Macaca mulatta: one gene and its partners. The protein of the gene in region 1 interacts with the protein of each later gene in a biochemical or structural test. Links are inferred from orthologs where the notes say so. Each region holds a gene or a part of one and is shown on either strand. Other genes may lie near its edges.

What was found.
Region 2: the proteins of MBL2 (region 1) and CALR form a complex in vitro, tested with the Homo sapiens proteins (2 studies listed by BioGRID and IntAct). The link is inferred for Macaca mulatta from reciprocal best matches to the Homo sapiens genes MBL2 and CALR.
Region 3: the proteins of MBL2 (region 1) and CR1 interact in a biophysical measurement, tested with the Homo sapiens proteins (2 studies listed by IntAct). The link is inferred for Macaca mulatta from reciprocal best matches to the Homo sapiens genes MBL2 and CR1.

The regions. Positions count from the first base shown.
Region 1 is NC_133414.1:96,985,404-96,991,610, forward strand, and holds the start of MBL2 (mannose-binding protein C), read left to right. Parts: upstream 1-2,302; 5' UTR 2,303-2,485; coding exon 2,486-2,497; intron 2,498-3,457; exon of another isoform or gene 3,458-3,516; coding exon 3,517-3,712; intron 3,713-4,371; coding exon 4,372-4,488; intron 4,489-5,849; coding exon 5,850-5,918; intron 5,919-6,207. UniProt on the Homo sapiens protein: Calcium-dependent lectin involved in innate immune defense. Binds mannose, fucose and N-acetylglucosamine on different microorganisms and activates the lectin complement pathway.
Region 2 is NC_133424.1:13,502,489-13,508,532, forward strand, and holds the start of CALR (calreticulin precursor), read left to right. Parts: upstream 1-2,354; 5' UTR 2,355-2,385; coding exon 2,386-2,476; intron 2,477-2,838; coding exon 2,839-2,940; intron 2,941-3,132; coding exon 3,133-3,336; intron 3,337-3,758; coding exon 3,759-3,853; intron 3,854-3,945; coding exon 3,946-4,155; intron 4,156-4,242; coding exon 4,243-4,356; intron 4,357-4,445; coding exon 4,446-4,589; exon of another isoform or gene 4,590-4,622; intron 4,623-6,044. UniProt on the Homo sapiens protein: Calcium-binding chaperone that promotes folding, oligomeric assembly and quality control in the endoplasmic reticulum (ER) via the calreticulin/calnexin cycle.
Region 3 is NC_133406.1:65,244,740-65,250,896, forward strand, and holds the start of CR1 (complement receptor type 1), read left to right. Parts: upstream 1-2,467; 5' UTR 2,468-2,571; coding exon 2,572-2,707; intron 2,708-6,157.

The sequences.
Region 1 (6,207 bases):
TTGGGAAGCGGGAGAGCTGGGATTTCACCCTAGTCTACAAAAAAGGGGATGTAGGGCACCAGGCAGTACTCCTGCAGATCAGAGAGGCAGTTGTCTCTGCAGCCTCTTTGGGGTGAGGTGGATTTCTTGTGGTGCTGCCAGAGTGGAAGCAGTGTTGGGAAGAGTTTTAAAGTCCAGAACAAATGCACACAGTGGCCTTGTGTATGGGATGGACTGCAGAGTGGGCATTGATGTGGAGAGAGACATTCAGGCTGCAGTATGTGGAGAGGGGCCTCTCCTGCTGGGAAAGGCCTTCTGGAGAGCAGGATGTAACTGGGCAACACTCCAATCTGTGGCTTAACTGCTAGATTGACTTTCCCTCAGATCCCCCCACCCTCTGAACCCAGTTCTAGGACATTTCAGGGTCTGGAGGGCAGTTTCCTAACCTCTGGACTAGGTAAACAATGAAAGCAAGCACTGTGATTAAAGCCAGCACCGCCGGTGACCTGGAGTCAACTACCTCGCCCCACCTGCTGCTACTGGAGCAGGAGCAGGGGAAGCTCTGGCTGCTAAAGAATAAGAAGGGAAACAAGTAATCTACTGTGTTCTTTAGGCCCTGGATCTCCTGATATCCATTGATGGCTTTAGGCATGTGGTTCTGTACCATCCTGGATTTTTCCAGGCACAGGGGACAGGTCAGCAGGAAATAAGGAAGCCAGTCCCTCCACAAGCCAAGAAGACTTCAATTAGAAGGGACCTGGCAGTGCATCTTACTCACATTTCTTCTGGTGTTTGGAGGCCTCCATAGTATCCCCACCACATGGCCTCGCAGCCTCTGAACTTCCCATGATGGGCTCCCCAACACCCCAAGCTACATGGCATTTTTCTGAAAGCTATATTGGAAATGTAGTTGAGAATCAAGTGAACTATGCTTCATAAAAGTATTCTCCCATCCCTTCTAGATTGTCCCCATTAATCACAGGAACATGGTTCAAGCCGTTAACACTCACGATACTGATGATCTTGTACTGCCAAGTGCTGTTCTTTTGCTTTTTATCTCAGCTGAGCGGCCCCTAGATAGTCAAGTCGTAAATGTGTGTGCCCATGAAAACTTCTTATTATCGCTCACTATTGTAGCTAATTCTCAAGTGCAATCAATACCTCCTGTTTCTCAAACGTGCCCACCTTCATAATCCAGCTGCCATTACTCCAACCCAGGCCACTGTCTGCTACTTAGATCACGGCAAGCACTTCCTTTTAGATCTGCTTTTCTCCAGTCCTGTTCCCCTCAACACTATAGCCAGAAAGGTGCAAAATTCACATTGCAAAATTCAAATGTGATCATCTCTCCACTATTGCAGTTCCCCTAGTGACCCTTGGAAGGAAACCCAAAGTCTTTAACACAGTTTACAATTCTTATTGCAAGGATGAAACTTGAAGACATTGTGCTAAGTGAAATAAGCCAGATACAAAGGAGCTATTGTATGATTTCACATATATGAGGTACCCAGAATAGATGAATTCAGAGAGACAGAAAGTAAAACAGAAGTTACCAGTGGCTGTGGGTAGGGGTAAATGGAGAATTCTAGTTTAATGAGTTGAGAGTTTCAGTTTGGGATGATGAAAATTGTCCCATGATGTGGTGATGATAGCACAACAATGTGAATGTACTTAATGCTACTGAGTTGTATGCTTAATAATAATGGTCAAAATGGTATGTCTATTTTAGCACAATGAAAAAATGGAACAGTAAAGTCAATGACTATAATATCATAAAGTGTAAGTAGCATGAGAGAAAATAATTCAGGCTAAGAGGATAGAGACTGCTAGGTAGGACTATTTTAGAATAAGTGATCAAGGTACTTATTTCTCTGAAATTGGAATGTTTAAATAGAAGAGAAAGAGCTAGCTGGCAATGCCCGTAAGGGGTCCAGGCGTGGAGACATCAAGTGAAGAGTCTGAGGCAGGAATGACCTTAATGCATTAATGGCAGCAAGAGGTCTATATGCTTTCATGGATGGGTGTGTGCACGCATGCACGTGTCTGTGTGTGTAGTTGGTGGGCATGAGCATATGTCTGCATTTGTGAGTATCCTTGTTTTCCTGTTGGAAACAAGGAACTCAACATGACTAACCAGGTGAACCTAGTTATGGTAGTTCAGCAAGGAGATTTCCCAAAATGGATGGCAATTGAAAGAGAAATTTTACTGTATTGAAGCACACAGCTGCCGAGCACTGTGCTGGAGGCTCCTAAATTTCTCCTAGTCCCGAGAAGAGTTGTTTATTAATCTGGAGTTGAAGGCCAGGCCCGGGCTATCCTTGTTCACAAGGTTGATTGGGCCCTACATTGCTGAGCCTAGCCTCCTCCCTCAATCTGAGGCATCTGCCAGAGCCCCAGGCTAGAGGGCCAGCGTCCTTGTCATTGAGTCCCTGCTCTGCAGAAACACCAGTACGTCATTTCTGGTGAATAAATCTGGGTTCCCGGATCAAGGGTTTGGGGAGTTGACATGGCCCTGGAGGTACGGAGGAGTCTTTCTAGGGGTGGGGGAAGTGGGATGAAAGGCAGAAATCAGGTTGAGGATGTTTCTTTTTATGCTTCTGCTGGAGCACCTGTGACTTTCCTCAATTATCTGTTCATCTGCAGTGGAAACTATCTTTGTTTCCAAAGGGAGCCTCGAGGACCTAGACCTATGGGGCTGGGCTGCTGAGGATTCTTAGTGGGGTAATAGCTGGAAGAAAGCTCTGAAGAACAAATGAAAGGTTAAGATTGAGAAATGGGAGGGGGATTCAAGGCAAGTTGTCTAATTGCCAGTGGTTTTGACTCACAGAACGGGGGAGTTCCTGCCAGAAAGTAGAGAGGGATTTAGCACTCTGCCAGGTCCAACATAGTAAGAAATTTTCAGAGAAAATGCTTACCCAGGCAAACCTGTCTAAAACACCAAGGGGAAGCAAACTCAAGTTAATTCTGGGCTGGGCTGGTGACTAAGATTGAGGTTGATCTGAGGTTGAGACCTTCCTCATTGGATCACCAACCTGTAGCCTAGGGCCTGCCACTGAGTAAATGATAGTTAACAGGCCCTGGAGAGGAATCAGCTGCCCAGATACAAAGATAGGATTCAGGTGGCAGATGGACTCAAAGGGGATGTGGAGAGAAAGAGGAAGCTCCTACAGACACCTGGGTTTCCACGCATTCTTATTCCCTAAGCTAATGGGCATGAGCGAGGTGTCAATGCACAGTCCCATTTGTTCTCACTGCCATGGAAAGTATGTTTATAGTCTTTCAGCGGCAACACCAGGGGCCTAGGCACAGAAGAACCCCTCCTTAGGATCCCCACTGCTCATCACAGTGCCTACCTTTGTTAAAGTACTAGTCACACAATGTCACAAGGATGTTTACTTTTCCAAATCCCCAACTAGAGTCCAGGGATGGGTCATCTATTTCTATATAGCCTGTACCCAGGTTGTAGAACAGAGGGCATGTTCAATACATATATGTTGATTAACTGAGATAATCTTCCCTGATTTTTCTCACACCAAGGGGAGGACCATGTCCCTGTTTCCATCACTCACTCTCCTTCTCCTGAGTGTGGTGGCAACATCTTACTCAGAAACTGTGACCTGTGAGGATTCCCAAAAGATTTGCCCTGCGGTGATTGCCTGTAACTCCCCAGGCATCAACGGCTTCCCAGGCAAAGATGGGCGTGATGGCACCAAGGGAGAAAAGGGGGAACCAGGTACAGTTTGGGCTGTTCTGTCTCTGCAATTCTTTACCTTCTAGAGAAAACTGCCTGGGGGTATGAGGAGACTGATGTCCTATTTGAGTATATTTTTCTCAACTATACTGTAACTCAAAACAGAGATTCAGCTCTCATTCTCTGGCATCTCAGACTTCCACACAGCAGTTTGTGACTAACAGTTGTCTTGCCTGCCCAGAAAAGCGGCCCACAGGTCAGGCCATCGCATGGGACACAGGATGAATTTTTCTTCTCTGGGTCATAGTTATTGTCATGTCAGACCCCTATTCACTTCAATAGGGATGGCACCAGGTTCAAGAGGCCAAAGTAGAGACCTGGAGCCAGCAAACATAGGTTTTACTGGGGGAATCTATTTACAGGGAGATCCAGCAGCAGTGGGCCGGACAGGAGAACCACAACTATTTGTAAAAAACATGCAGTTAATTTTCACTTTGCACCCTCCCTGCAGCAACCTCCATATGGCAACTCTATTTCTTAAGTTATTGCTCTCAGGTGCATACCATACAGTTATTGAGAGCAGTGCTCAGAAAGGTCAGTCCTGCGTCAAGGTCTCCTTTCTCCTGAGAAGGGACTGGGCATCCAACCCTTGAAGAGAAAGAACATAGATATTAAGTCACATTTCCTTTTTCTTCCAACAGGCCAAGGGCTCAGAGGTTTACAGGGCCCTCCTGGAAAGTTGGGGCCTCCAGGAAATCCAGGGTCTTCTGGGTCACCAGGACCAAAGGGCCAAAAAGGAGACCCTGGAGAGAGTCCAGGTAAGGACTCCAGCAAGGTCCGAGCTGAATGCACCCAGGGTTCTGAGACCTTGAGTACCTGGTGTGCCCCTTCTCCTGTTCCTTCAAAGGAAGATACCCAAATTTGCTTTCTGACCCAGTGCCCTCAGCCCTCTTTTCATTCTTAGAGCCTTAGGGAATTCCTATAAGTGCCTGAGTACAGACTTACAAACTTTTCAAGACAACTCCCTCATCAGGCACTCCCTGTAGGAGCTGAGCCTGGGTTCTCCATCAGTTGAAATAGTTCAATGTGAGGCCCTGGTCCTAGAGGGAAAAAATAGACCATTTAAGTGTGGGCTTATTATGTCTATTTTTGCAAAAGCATGTAACCATGGTATGTCATATTTTACTTCATAAGAAACCAAGCCAAAGCTTAATAGCTTAAAAACATAGCCGTCAATTTAAATCACAAGTCTGTGGGTCAGCCATGTGATTTGTCTGCTGGTTTAAGCTGGGCTCACTCATATATGTCTGTGGTCAGCTGATGGCCAATAGTCTCACTCATGTGTCTGGCTGTTGTTTGAATGTTAGCTGGAGTGATGAGGGTAATTGAACCACGTCTCTCATCATCCAACAGGCTAGCCAGGGCTTCTTCACATAGCAGTGACTACAGGATTCCCAAGAGTAGAAATAAGAAAGGCTTTAGGCTTCTTGAAGACTCAGAGCACATTATCATTTCTGCCAGACTGTATTGGTCAAAACAAGTCACAAGGCCAGCCCAGATTCAACGAGTACTGAAATAGACTCGTGTCTAAATGAGAGGAGCTACACCCTATTGAGGCCATTTTTGCCATCTACTACAACAAGTGGTTTGCTCTTGCCCTCCCCACTTGGATAATGGGCAACTCACAAAAATCTTGGTTTCCTGACTAATAGAACAAACCTGGGAAAAACAAAAACAAAATAAAAGACAACAAAAGCAAAACCTCTCCAAAGACAAAAACCCTGTAATCTTTTTAGTCACTCTTCACCAGGTCATAATAGAGTAATGCCTCAAGAGATTTCTTTTTAGTTTTGATAGAACAATTTGTTTGGAAAGAAATAATCTGTGAAGAACCTGGCCTATGGATTGCTAAGTAATCAGGGAGTATATGTGTGCATGTGATATGTACGTGTACTTTGGGATACAGTAAACAGACAAAGAGTGACGTTTGGGGTTGGATGAAAATAGAGATTTTTCATTCTTTTGACTTTTAAGTATTTTTTATTTTCCTTTGAAGTGTAAACATCAATGTAAAATAAGCTTCTTTTTCAATTTGAAAAAGATACTCTACTCTCGTGTATATGCACAGTTCCGAGGTTCCTTCTCAACAATGCTTCTTTACTTTGTTCTAATTTTCTAGATTGTGAGAGTAGCCTGGCTGCCTCAGAAAGAAAAGCTCTGCAAACAGAAATGGCTCGTATCAAAAAATGTAAGCCTTTTCTCTTACTCTCCAGGCAGCTTGAAATTTGGGAAAAATAGAATGCTACAAATATTTATAGAATGCAAAAAATATTTATTGAATGCATATAATTTTCTGTACCCTGATAGGCATTTCTCATATTCTGACCTCATGGAATTCTCACAACATTTTGGTAGAAATGGGGGCAAAGGGAAGTTAAATTACTTGCTCAAATGCACAGAGCTAAAAAATGGCAGGGGTGCTTTATAGATGGAAGTCAGTCTAACTCGAGAGACCCTAATATTTTACCCTCTGATAT
Region 2 (6,044 bases), on another chromosome or scaffold:
ATCGAGACCATCCTGGCTAACATGGTGAAACCCTGTCTCTACTAAAAATACAAAAGCAAAATTAGCTGGGCGTGGTGGCAGGTGTCTGTAGTCCCAACTACTCAGGAGGCTGAGGCAGGAGAATGGTGTGAACCCGGGAGGCGGAGCTTGTAGTGAGCCGAGATCGAGATCACGCCACTGCACTCCAGTCTAGGTGACAGAGCAAGATTCCGTCTCAAAAAAAAAAAAAAAAATTTTTTTTAGTAAAGATGGCATCCTGCTATGTTGCCCAGGCTGGTCTTGAACTCCTGGCCTCAAGTGATCCTCCCATCTTGGCCTGCCAAACTGTTGGGATTATAGGCATGAGTCACTGTGCCCAGCCTGTTTTTAGTTAATTTCTACAAGTCCTTCCTTCCTCTCTTCTGTCATGCAGCAAGTAGTTTTTAATCCTGTTCTGTGCCAGATGCTGCAGGTGACACTGGAGGATGCAAAGTGAACAAAACAGGCAGTGTCTAATCTCAGGTAGGAAGTGCCAAGCCCACAGGTGCCTGACACAGGAACAGGAGGAAGGGTCAGCCAGAGGCCTGGGATGGTCCTCGGGATCCTCATTGAGGGGACCAGACTAGGCAATACTGAATACTACCTAGAGGAAGGGGTAGAACCCCAACTTCCCAATTCATTCTCCCCCTTCTTTTTTTTCGAGATGGAGTCTTGCTCTATCACCTGGGCTGGTGGCCTGGAGTGGTGTGATCTCGGCTCACTGCAATCTCTGGCTCCCAGGTTTCAAGTGATTCTCCCACCTCAGCCTCCTGAGTACTGGGATTACAGGCACCCACCACCACGCCCAGCTAATTTTTTTTTTTTTTTTAGTGGAGACGAGTTTTCGCCTTGTTGGCCAGGCTGCTCTCGAACTCATGACCTCAAATGATCCGCCTGCCTCGGCCTCCCCAAGTGCTGGGTTTACAGGCGTGAGCCACCGCGCCCGGCCACCATTTCTTTTTCTTTTCTTAACCAAAGACCCTTGCCAAGTCATTCCCCCACTCCACTTTGTTTTCCTTTTCATTTTTTCCTTCCTCCCTTTTCTGAGTCACAACCATTAGCCAGGAAGCACCCCCTCCTCACCCTCTTTCCTGGATCCCCCTCATTCCCTCCTTCCACAGTCCACTCCCGTGTTCCCAGGTCCAGGGCTTATTTGCCCAGAGTTTGGAAAACCCCCAGATCTCCTTTCTACAGCTTGGGGGCAGGGTACTGGTGCCAGTCACGTGCCTCTGGCTTCAGAAGACTCCAGACTGGGGTGGGGTGGGGGGGTCCTGCCCATCTCCCTAGCACCTTATCTTCGCTACCATCTGTGTCTTTTTTCCCTCCCCAAACGGAACCCCCTGCCCTCTCGCCTATAGCCGTTTAATTGCAAAAGCCAGGCCGTTTGTGGGAGACCACAGACAGCGACCTCCTTCATTTACCGGTTGAGACGAGAGTAAAGGGGCTGCTGCAATCTGGGTAATAACCCTATCCCCACCCCAGGAGTCACAGTCACATCGTTAAGTCTTCCTCCCCTCTTGTCCCAGGCCAGCTTTAAAAACGTTAACAGCATTTCTGCTGGGTAGCACCTGGCCAGGGTCACCCCCTCTGTCTGCTCAGGAACGTCTGTCACTTCAGAGAGGTTAAGTGACTTGCCCCAGTCACACAGCAGCAGTCTGATAGGCTGCCAGGGCCCTAGGGGCAGAATGAGGAGAGGGCTGGCATTCTTCCCACTGGCCCGCGTGGCTGTAGCACCGGGGTGCAGCGTAGCCCCAGGGCCCCAACCCATGAGCTCTCTCCTATCCTGGGCGGGGGTAGGGGAGCAGCAGTGGGGTGCTGGTTCCCAAATGCAAGATAAGAACTGGCTAGGAAAGCCTTGCCCAGCCCCTCCACCTAGAGGGAACGGGAGGAAGAGAAGCTGAGGCGGGGTCCCGATCCCGCGTGGAAACACCTGCGCTCCCGCGGGTTCTTTAAACGCCCAGATGGGGAACGACGCGCACGGGCAAGGGCGGTCTTAGGTTCAGGTCTGGTCACATGACCTGGCCTGAGGGGCTCGCGGCCCCCACCTCACCAGTGGGCGTCCCCCACAACGCGTGGTCGACCATCATTGGTCAGTGGTGAGGCCAATAGAAATCGGCCATCTGGGAACCCAGCGTTCCGAGGCGCAGCCTAACCTAGTGAACCGACGAAGGTCCAATGGAAAGAGACGGCCGTGGGCGCAGGCCAATGATAAAGTGTCAGGGGCGGGCCCAAGGGCTGGGTCAGGTTGGTTTGAGAGGCGGGTGGGTATAAAAATGCAAGGCGGGCGGCGGCGTCCGTCCGTACTGCAGAGCCGCCGCCGGAGGGTCGTCTTAAAGGGCCCGCGCGCCGCCGCCCCCTCGGCCCGCCATGCTGCTATCCGTGCCGCTGCTGCTCGGCCTCCTCGGCTTGGCCGCCGCCGAGCCCGCCGTCTACTTCAAGGAGCAGTTTCTGGACGGAGGTAACGCCTGGTCCCACCTCGAGGCCGTCCCGACGACGCGGCCGGCCCCCCATCCCGGATCTGCGTCGTCGCCCGTAATTACCGCTTAGAGGGCCAACACAGTGGTCCCCGGCGACTGGAGCTGCGGGCGATCCCTCTTTTGCGTCTCTGGGGAGCGCGGAAGGCGTAGCGGCCTCCCGCGGTGGGAGTTAGGGTTCGCCCGAGGATCGCTGAAGGCACCCGACGTGTCAACTAGAGGTTGGGGTGGGGAGAGTCGGGGATCTCCTTCCCTGTCCCCAGCAGCTTGTGGTTCTCCGCAGATGCTTGGTGGGGGGGGGGATTAGCAGAGCCGCGCTGACCTAACTCTCTAACCCTCCACTTAGACGGGTGGACTTCCCGCTGGATCGAATCCAAACACAAGTCAGATTTTGGCAAATTCGTCCTCAGTTCCGGCAAGTTCTACGGTGACGAGGAGAAAGATAAAGGTAAGAGCTTAGGAGTGGGTGCTCAGATCCGCGAGGACTTCCTGGCAGAAGTCCTTGTCCGCACACACACAGCCGGGACAGTCCCCTAGGAGCAGGGCAGGTGGAGGAAGTGGGGGAGTCGTCTGTATCGTCTAAATCGAGGGTCCTCGCGGGTCAGGACCCAACGGTGACCACACTACCGTCCCGTCTCAGGTTTGCAGACAAGCCAGGATGCACGCTTTTATGCTCTGTCGGCCAGTTTCGAGCCTTTCAGCAACAAAGGCCAGACGCTGGTGGTGCAGTTCACGGTGAAACATGAGCAGAACATCGACTGTGGGGGCGGTTATGTGAAGCTGTTTCCTAATAGTTTGGACCAGACGGACATGCACGGAGACTCAGAATACAACATCATGTTTGGTGAGGGGCTGCTTCCTGGTGCTGACCTCTGTCCCATTAGTTGGAGGGAGACCCAGACCCCATTGACTTTCTTAATAGTTATGATTGTCTTTGGAAGGGGCGCTAAAAGAATTAAGTCACAGCAACAATTTATTGCGTTATGATCGCAGATCTAGGCTGTTAATTAATTTGTGTCATTGTATATAGTTATTTCCCAATCTTACAAATGAGGATGTTGAGTTCTAGAGCACTGATTTTTTTTTTTTAATTTAAACTTAAGGCTTCACCCACAACCCATTCAGCACAGAATCAGGGTCTGAGTTTCTCTTTTCAGCCTTGACAGACCCGAGTTTAGGAACCAGGTCTTCCTTTTGTAAAGAGGGGTGAGGAACTCGAAATGGTGGGTAGTCTCTGACTTTTAACTGGATCTGCTTCACACCTAGGTCCTGATATCTGTGGCCCCGGCACCAAGAAGGTTCACGTCATCTTCAACTACAAGGGCAAAAACGTGCTGATCAACAAGGACATCCGTTGCAAGGTGTGCCTGGGGGTGGTGGCAAATGGGTGTCATGGGGAGGTTCAGAGGTCAGCCTGATTGAGGGGGGGCTGCTCACCTTCTTCCTTCTTCAGGATGATGAGTTTACACACCTGTACACACTGATTGTGCGGCCAGACAACACTTATGAGGTGAAGATTGACAACAGCCAGGTGGAGTCGGGCTCCTTGGAAGACGATTGGGACTTCCTGCCACCCAAGAAGATAAAGGATCCTGATGCTTCAAAACCTGAAGACTGGGATGAGCGGGCCAAGATCGATGATCCCACAGACTCCAAGCCTGAGGTTGGTGTTTGGGTGGGGGCTCTGCTCTCCACATTGGAGGGTGTGAGGACATTTGGGCCAACTCTGACCTCTTCATCTACCCCCCAGGACTGGGACAAGCCCGAGCATATCCCTGACCCCGATGCTAAGAAACCCGAGGACTGGGATGAAGAGATGGATGGAGAGTGGGAACCCCCAGTGATTCAGAACCCTGAGTACAAGGTGAGTTTGGGGCTCTGAGCAGGGCTGGGGCTCACAGTGGGGAGTGCACCAACCTTACTCACCCTCTAGTTCCCTTCTTCCTTCTGCAGGGTGAGTGGAAGCCCCGGCAGATCGACAACCCAGATTACAAGGGCACTTGGATCCACCCAGAAATTGACAATCCTGAGTACTCTCCTGATCCCAGTATCTATGCCTATGATAACTTTGGTGTGCTGGGCCTGGACCTCTGGCAGGTGAGACTTGGAGGAAAAAGGAGGATCCCTGGGGTACCTCAAGTGCATAAGATTACCCAAGGGGAAAGTGACAGGATACGATCGCACCCCAGGCGGGTCTGACTCAAAAATGGTACTTTTTGTAAACAGTACTTCCTGGTCTGTCCCTGTGGAGTCCTCACAGCAATGCTTTTGAGGCTGTACTTCTTGTGAACTAAGTACTTCCCCAAGTACTTTTATGCAAATCAACTTCTTTAAATACCCTGAAAGAACTAGAAGGTGGTCAGGTAACCCACTTAGTTAGCTGGGGCTGGGCACAGTGGCTCACCCTTATAATCACAGTACTTTGGGAGACTGAGGCAGGAGGATTGCTTGAGGCCAAGAATTAGACAACCTTGCTTGGCAACGTAGTGAGGAGACCCTATCTCTACAAATTTTTTTTTTTTTTTTTTTTTTTTTTTTGAGACGGAGTCTCACTCTGTCCCCCTTGCTGGAGTGCAGTGGCCGGATCTCAGCTCACTGCAAGCCCCGCCTCCCGGGTTCAGGCCATTCTCCTGCCTCAGCCTCCCAAGTAGCTGGGACTACAGGCGCCCGCCACCTCGCCCGGCTAGTTTTTTTGTATTTTTTAGTAGAGACGGGGTTTCACTGTGTTAGCCAGGATGGTCTCGATCTCCTGACCTCGTGATCCACCCGTCTCGGCCTCCCAAAGTGCTGGGATTACAGGCTTGAGCCACCGCGCCCGGCCTTTTTTTTTTTTTTTTTTGAGACGCAGTTTCACTCTTGTTGCTGAGGCTCGAGTGCAATGGCACGATCTCAGCTCACTGCAACCTTCGCCTGCTGGGTTCAAGCGATTCTCCTGCCTCAGCCTCCCCAGTAACTGGGATTACAGGCATGTGCCACTATGGATGCCAGGCTAATTTGTTTGTTTTTTGTTTTTGAGACCGAGTCTTGCTCTGTCGCCCAGGCTGGAGTGCAGTGGTGCGATCTCAGCTCACTGCAAGCTCCGCCTCCCAGGTTTACGGCATTCTCCTGTCTCAGCCTCCCAAGTAGCTGGGACTACAGGCGCCTGCCACCACGCCTGGCTGATTTTTTTTTTTTTTTTTTTTTTTTTTTTTTTTTTGAGACGGAGTCTGGCTCTGTTGCCCGGGCTGGAGTGCAGTGGCCGGATCTCAGCTCACTGCAAGCTCCGCCCCACGGGTTCCCGCCATTCTCCTGACTCAGCCTCCCAAGTAGCTGGGACTACAGGCGCCGCCAGCACGCCCGGCTAGTTTTTTTGTATTTTTTTTTTTAGTAGAGACGGGGTTTCACCGTGTTCGCCAGGATGGTCTCGATCTCCTAACCTCGTGATCCGCCCGTCTCGGCCTCCCAAAGTGCTGGGATTACAGGCTTGAGCCACCGTGCCCGGCCGATTTTTTTTTTTTTTTTTTTTTTTTTTTAGTAGAGACGTGGTTTCACCATGTTAGCCAGGATGGTCTC
Region 3 (6,157 bases), on another chromosome or scaffold:
AAGGAAGTTCTGAATTAATGTGCAATTTTAAATAGTGGCCAAGAAAGGCTCCATTAAGAAGGTCTTATTTGAGCCAAATAACTCACGGAGATGAGGCAGTAGCCATGCAGACAGATATCTGGGCAAAGATCGTTCTAAGCAAAAGGACTATTAAATGGGAGGAAAAAAACTGAAGAGAAAAACACACCTGCTGTACTTGGAGAAATAATTTGTTTGCATGCTGATGGTAAAAATCCAGCAGAAAGAGGGGTATGATAATGCTGGAGAAAGTGAGAATTGCTGGTTTCCTTGAGCGAGTGAGAGCAAACTGAATCTAGGGCACAAGTGGAGAGATCACCCTTAGACTTAGACTGTGGACAGTATAAATACACTAACAAGAGAGAAGGAAGTTACATGGGCCAAATACAAGAATTTTGGTGGAGCGATGGTAGAAAATTGTAGATCTATTTGATTGTTTCTATTTTCTCAATAAAGAAAGAAACAAAGCTATTCACAGAGATTAGGAATGTTGGAGAAGGTGTCAGAAATAAATGTCAAAAATATGAAATAGTCATTTAGGAGAATGGGAGAATAAATGGATTAGACAAAAAATAGTGGAAATGTCAGGCAGCAGTACAATGGTCCATTTGAAATTCTTTGTTACTAAAGTAAGGCTAGTCATTGTATCTCTGTGTCTTTTCCAGTCACATTCAGTTTCACAGGTATGGGAGCAAAATAATGGAGAATTGATTCTAACCAGGATTGTCGATTTGTCTAACGCCTATAATAAAGCAAGAGAAGGGTGAGGGAGCTAATGGTGGGTGCAAGATGATGATTATAATGACAGAGTATGGAATTTAACCTGGTAGTGATGAAAGTGAAGACACGAAAGAGGTGAGAGGCTGAGAGAGAGAGCGGTAGGATCAATGGGTTGCAGGCACTGAGACAGACAAAGATTGCTGGATTCAGTTTAATGGTAAAAGAGAAGAGTAGGATTGGTGGTTAAAGAGTGGGATCACTGAAATCATTGAGGGTTGCAGTGACAGTGACAAGTTTCAGAGCATGCACATGAGCATTAGTGTCAGAGGAGAATAGAGGACAAGACCACAGGCAGAGAAGAGGTCAAGGCACTTTAAGACCAGGGATTTGAAAATGCTATTGCTGTGAATATTGAAATAACCAGGGACTGTGGCAGAACTAATAGTGGAGAAGGTGGCCATGAGCCAGGAGCTAAAACCTTCAAGGAATGAGGGGAGAAAGTAGACACTAGGAGATGGATACCAGCAGAAGTGGTAAGGAGTGGCACCTTCTGATAGCATGTGATGGAAAACTGAGAAACTGAGCCTTCTCCTCTTCTCTTTTCCTAAGCCTACTACAATCTGACTGCTTCTCCCATTACTCTGTCGAGAATAACTTGAAATGATGATAGCAAATCCTTAAAAGAATGTCACTGGATGTATTAAAAAGTGTGATAAGTGATATGATCAAAGTAGACATTTCTTCCACTAGAATTTTGGGAGAAAGCCTAATGGAAACCAGTGCGCACAGAAAGACAAATCCTGTATGATACCAGTCATATGTGGACTCTAAAAAAGCTCATCTCATAGAAGTATAGAGTAGAGTACTGGTTACCAGAGGCTGGGGAAGGGAGAGACAATGGGAGATAGAGACAGATTGGTTAAAGGGCACAGGATCACAGATAGATAGGAGGAATAAATTCATCCTTGAATACTTAACCGTCACCCTAAATCTGTCACTCCTACATCCATATTTCATATTTCAATAAGTAGCACCACCATCCATTTCTAATCCTGGGGCTAACTCTTGATTGCTTTCTTCTCACCACCAACCTTAAGAAAGGAAGTAACCAATATCCAGTACACAAGCAACTGTTCATTTCATCTCCAAAATCTTTGTTAATTATCCACTTTATCCACCCAGTCAGGGCCGCCATCAAACCTCACTTGGATGTCAGCAAAAGCTCCCTGACTGGTCTCCCCTCTCCATTATTGCCCTATTCTAATCTACCTTCCATACTATACACACATTTACATTTTAAAAATGTATATCCGATCGTCCCTCCCTTTTTAAAAATCTTACGATGGCCTGACATCTCAATTCACGATAAGGAAATTGGTTCTTCACATTCTCTGTACACTGTACACATGGCCTGCAATTGCGCTTCAACACAGAGACCAGGCATTTCATTAGCTGACCTTCCCACACACATTCTTGCAAAGAGGAATAGTCAAGCAGGCTGTTTGGAGGCGAGCTGCCGTCATCCACCACCTGTGTCTGTAAGCGCAGAGCCTCGCACGCGGGATCCATCGGAAGCCCAAGCATTGTCAAGCTCTGCTGCTGCACCTGGGTCCGCAACGTGGGCTCTGCCAGAGAAACCCGTTAGAAACAATGCAAATGGGGAGTAAACATGGCCTCGCCCATGAAGAGGAAGCTGTGGTGAAAAGCATTTTGTCCCGGAACCCCGCAGCCCTCCCCATACCCTGGGCGCGGAGCACAAGGATTGGTCCCTCCTCTTTGTACTGCTCTTTTCCTCTTATTTCAGCTTTCTTCGAGAACAAATCTGGTTTGTAGATGTGCTTGGGGAGAATGGGGGCCTCTTCTCCAAGAAGCCCGGAGCCTGTTGGGCCGCCGGCGCCCCGTCTCCCCTTCTGCTGCGGAGGATCCCTGCTGGCGGTTGTGGTGCTGCTCGCGCTGCCGGTGGCCTGGGGTGAGACGCGGGCGGGCGTGGGGAGGCGCCTGGGCGGACGAGGCACCCGGGGCCCCGCAGGGAACTCGCGTGCCTCGCTGGGCTGCGCTCCTCTGGACGCCCGGGTCCGAAGGCAGTGCGATGGGTGGGCTGAGCGCGCAAACCGGCAGGGCGGCGGGTCTGGGATTCTTCTGCTCACTGGAGACCCTCGCTGCTTCTGGGTAAGCGTGGAGTCCCCATGTGCATGGGGCTTAAGTCGTGACCAGCGCAGAGGAAGGCGCAGATGCTGAGCGGGTGTCGCATGAAATTCCTTGCATTTGTGTATTCACAGTCTAGGCTGGCTATAGCGGAGCGTGGCGTTGATCCTAGCGAAAGGGGACTTGGGGATCCGACAAACCTGAGTTCTGGTCCTAGAAACTTAACTATGAGGCAGCTTAGCACACCTAAGTCTGTTTGCTCTTCTGTAAAATGGGGACATTGATATCTGTGCATTGTGGAGGTGCTGCCTCAGTGGCATAAAGCCTGTCGAGTGTCTAACACAGGGCCTGTCCCCGAGTCCATTTCTATCCCCTCAACCATTGCCTCTGCACTTTGCTCCCAATGGTGTTTAGACAAGCAGTCCTAGGGATGCAGGTATTACCTGACAACTGCCCCACATAGAACTATCCTCGTTCCCCACCCCAAGCCACCACCGCTATCATCACCCTTGCACTTGATTGATAGCATATTTTAAGACAGATGCATGCCAGGCACTTGGGGATTAGAGGAGTAAGGGCAGCCCCAGAACATGCAGTGTAACCGCTGCAGGTAGAAGGAACAGTAGATATGTTTACAGTTCGCATTTTAGGGATGTGTTTAGTGCAAAATAAACCCTATTATTATAACTACTATGGAAATTTTGAGGCCACATCTCTTCCTTTTTCTTAACTTCACATAGGTAAACATCTTCAATTAGAACCCTTCTATTATTATTTTTGGGCTCCCCAGAAGTCTTCTTGTTTGCCTAGACTCACTGGCAACATCTCAATTGAAGTGACAGTCTTGGTTGTTCCTGTCCAGCCTCTTCTGACAACTCCAGGTTCGCCCTTCTCTGCTACTAGACATTTTGCATTCTTTATTTGAGTGTTCCTTCTTCTCTAAAAGAGTAAAAAATAAAATAAATTAAAACCAAGTTCCCGCAAGAGTTGTTATTACTATTTGATCTCCTTAGGCACCAGAAAGTAACCTGTCAGGTGAAGAGATATGATAAAACTTACAATTTTATTTTTAGAAGAGAAGCATGCCCAGTAAGTTAAGCAATCTGTTGTCAGTGCTTAAGAATTTGTGTCATCCTTGTGAGTACTGACCCTCTTCTTACTAGAATGTTGTTTTAGTTTGCCTATGTTGATTAAGTTACTGTTATAAACAATCCCAGACACTATTAATTGCAAAAATAAAAAAAATTACTGAGGTTATCACAATAACCTCCAAATGTGAAACAGCCTAAACTATACTACCTGGAAATTTTCTTGCTGACATAATTTAAATTTTAAAATGCTGATGGATGTTTCCAGTGTGCACGGTCCTTTAGAATTTTAAAGAAGTATAAGAGCTATGCACCCAAGGTATATGCATGTAGAAGTAGGTGGTGGAGTTTTATGAAATCTACTTATTAGGAAGCCAGTGTTCGGCTTTTTCCAGCTTCTGCTACTTACCAGCTGGGGTCTTGGACCCAGTAAGTTAAGTCACATCACTGAGTGTCCACATGTATAAAATGAGCATAACTGACATCCTGATCTCTGAAAGAGGTATTTTGAAAATCAGATGGTGTAATGCATGTGACAGTGTTTTGTAATCTGAAAACCCCCATGCATATCTGAAAAATCATGACTAAGAAGTCATGCAAGACTGCAGGATCACTGAAAAGGGAGAAGTCTTAGCTCCTACGATCAGGAAAGTGTGAGTGAAAGGTGTATGGATTTACTAGCACTTAAAGAGTGAATCCAGAAACAGTTTGCATAGGACAGTTTATGGGGATATTTATTTCTATACAAAACATAGCAGAGGAACTAGGATTGTTTTGTTATTATGATTAACTCACAGTACCCGTGAAGTGGTATAGGGCTATTTGAAAGAGGACTTAGATTAGCTGCAAATAGATATTGCAAATGTAGGACAACCACTGAAAAAAGTGAAAAAAAGAATGATAATTATATGTGAATAAGGAAGAGAAAATTGCATCATATAAAATGCTCAGTTAAAACAATAAAGAGGGCCGGGAACGGTGGTTCATGCCTGTAATCCCAGCACTTTGGGAGGTTGAGGTGGGTGGACCATCTGAGGTCAGGAGTTCGAGACCAGCCTGGCCAACATAGTGAAACCCTGTCTCTACAAAAATACAAAAATTACCGAGGCATGATGGCGGGTGCCTGTAGTCCCAGCTACTCGGGAGGCTGAGGCATGAGGCTTGAGAATCGCTTGAACCTGGGAGGCAGGGGTTGCAGTGAGCGGAGATCATGCCATTGCACTCCAGCCTGGGTGACAGAGCGCAACTCCATATCAAAAGAGAAAGAACGGAGGAAAGAAGGAAGGAAGGAAGGAAGGAAGGAAGGAAGGAAGGAAGGAAGGAAGGAAGGAAGGAAGGAAGGAGAAAGAAAGGAGGGAGGGAGGGAAGGAGGAAGGAAGGAAACCAATAAAACAATAAAGGGCAGGAAAAGAATGGAAGACAAAAAGTAGAAACACAGAACAAGAGAACAAAGGCAACAAATAGAAACCAGTAACAAACACTAAACCAACCATATCAACAATAATTTTGAGTGCCAATGATCTAAATGCACCATTTGAAACAGAGATCATCAGAGTGGATCAAGAAACAAGACCCAACAATATATTGTGTACAACAAGACCATTTTAAATATAGACGACATATATTAAAAGTAAATGGATAAAGATATACCATGCTAATGCTAGTTATAGAAAGCAGGAGTAACTGTGTTAATTTCAAACACAGCAGACTTCCGACCAAGAAAAATTATTAGGGATAAAGAGGGGCATCATATAATGATAAAGGGGCCACTTATCCAAGAAGACATAATAATATCCCATATGTATGCACCTGACAGAGAGACAAAATATGTGAGGCAAAACCCATAGAACTGCAAGGAGAAATAGATGGATTTGCTATCATAGTTGGAGACTTCTATGATATCTTTCTGATATCAGAAAAGGTGCTGAAGTCTTCTTATCAGAAATGGGCAGATTCAGCAGGCAGAAAATCCATAAGGACATACTTGAACTCAACAGCACCATCAATCCACTTGGATATAATTGACATGTATAGGTGACTTCATCCAACAGCAGCAGAACACATATTGTCCGGCTCACATTCATGGGGATAGACCACATTCTGAGCCATAAAATAGTACGCAAATTAAGCTTTACCAGGCAGTGTTTAGCATAGGGTGAACTCTGGCGCCCTCATCTGGTCCTCAT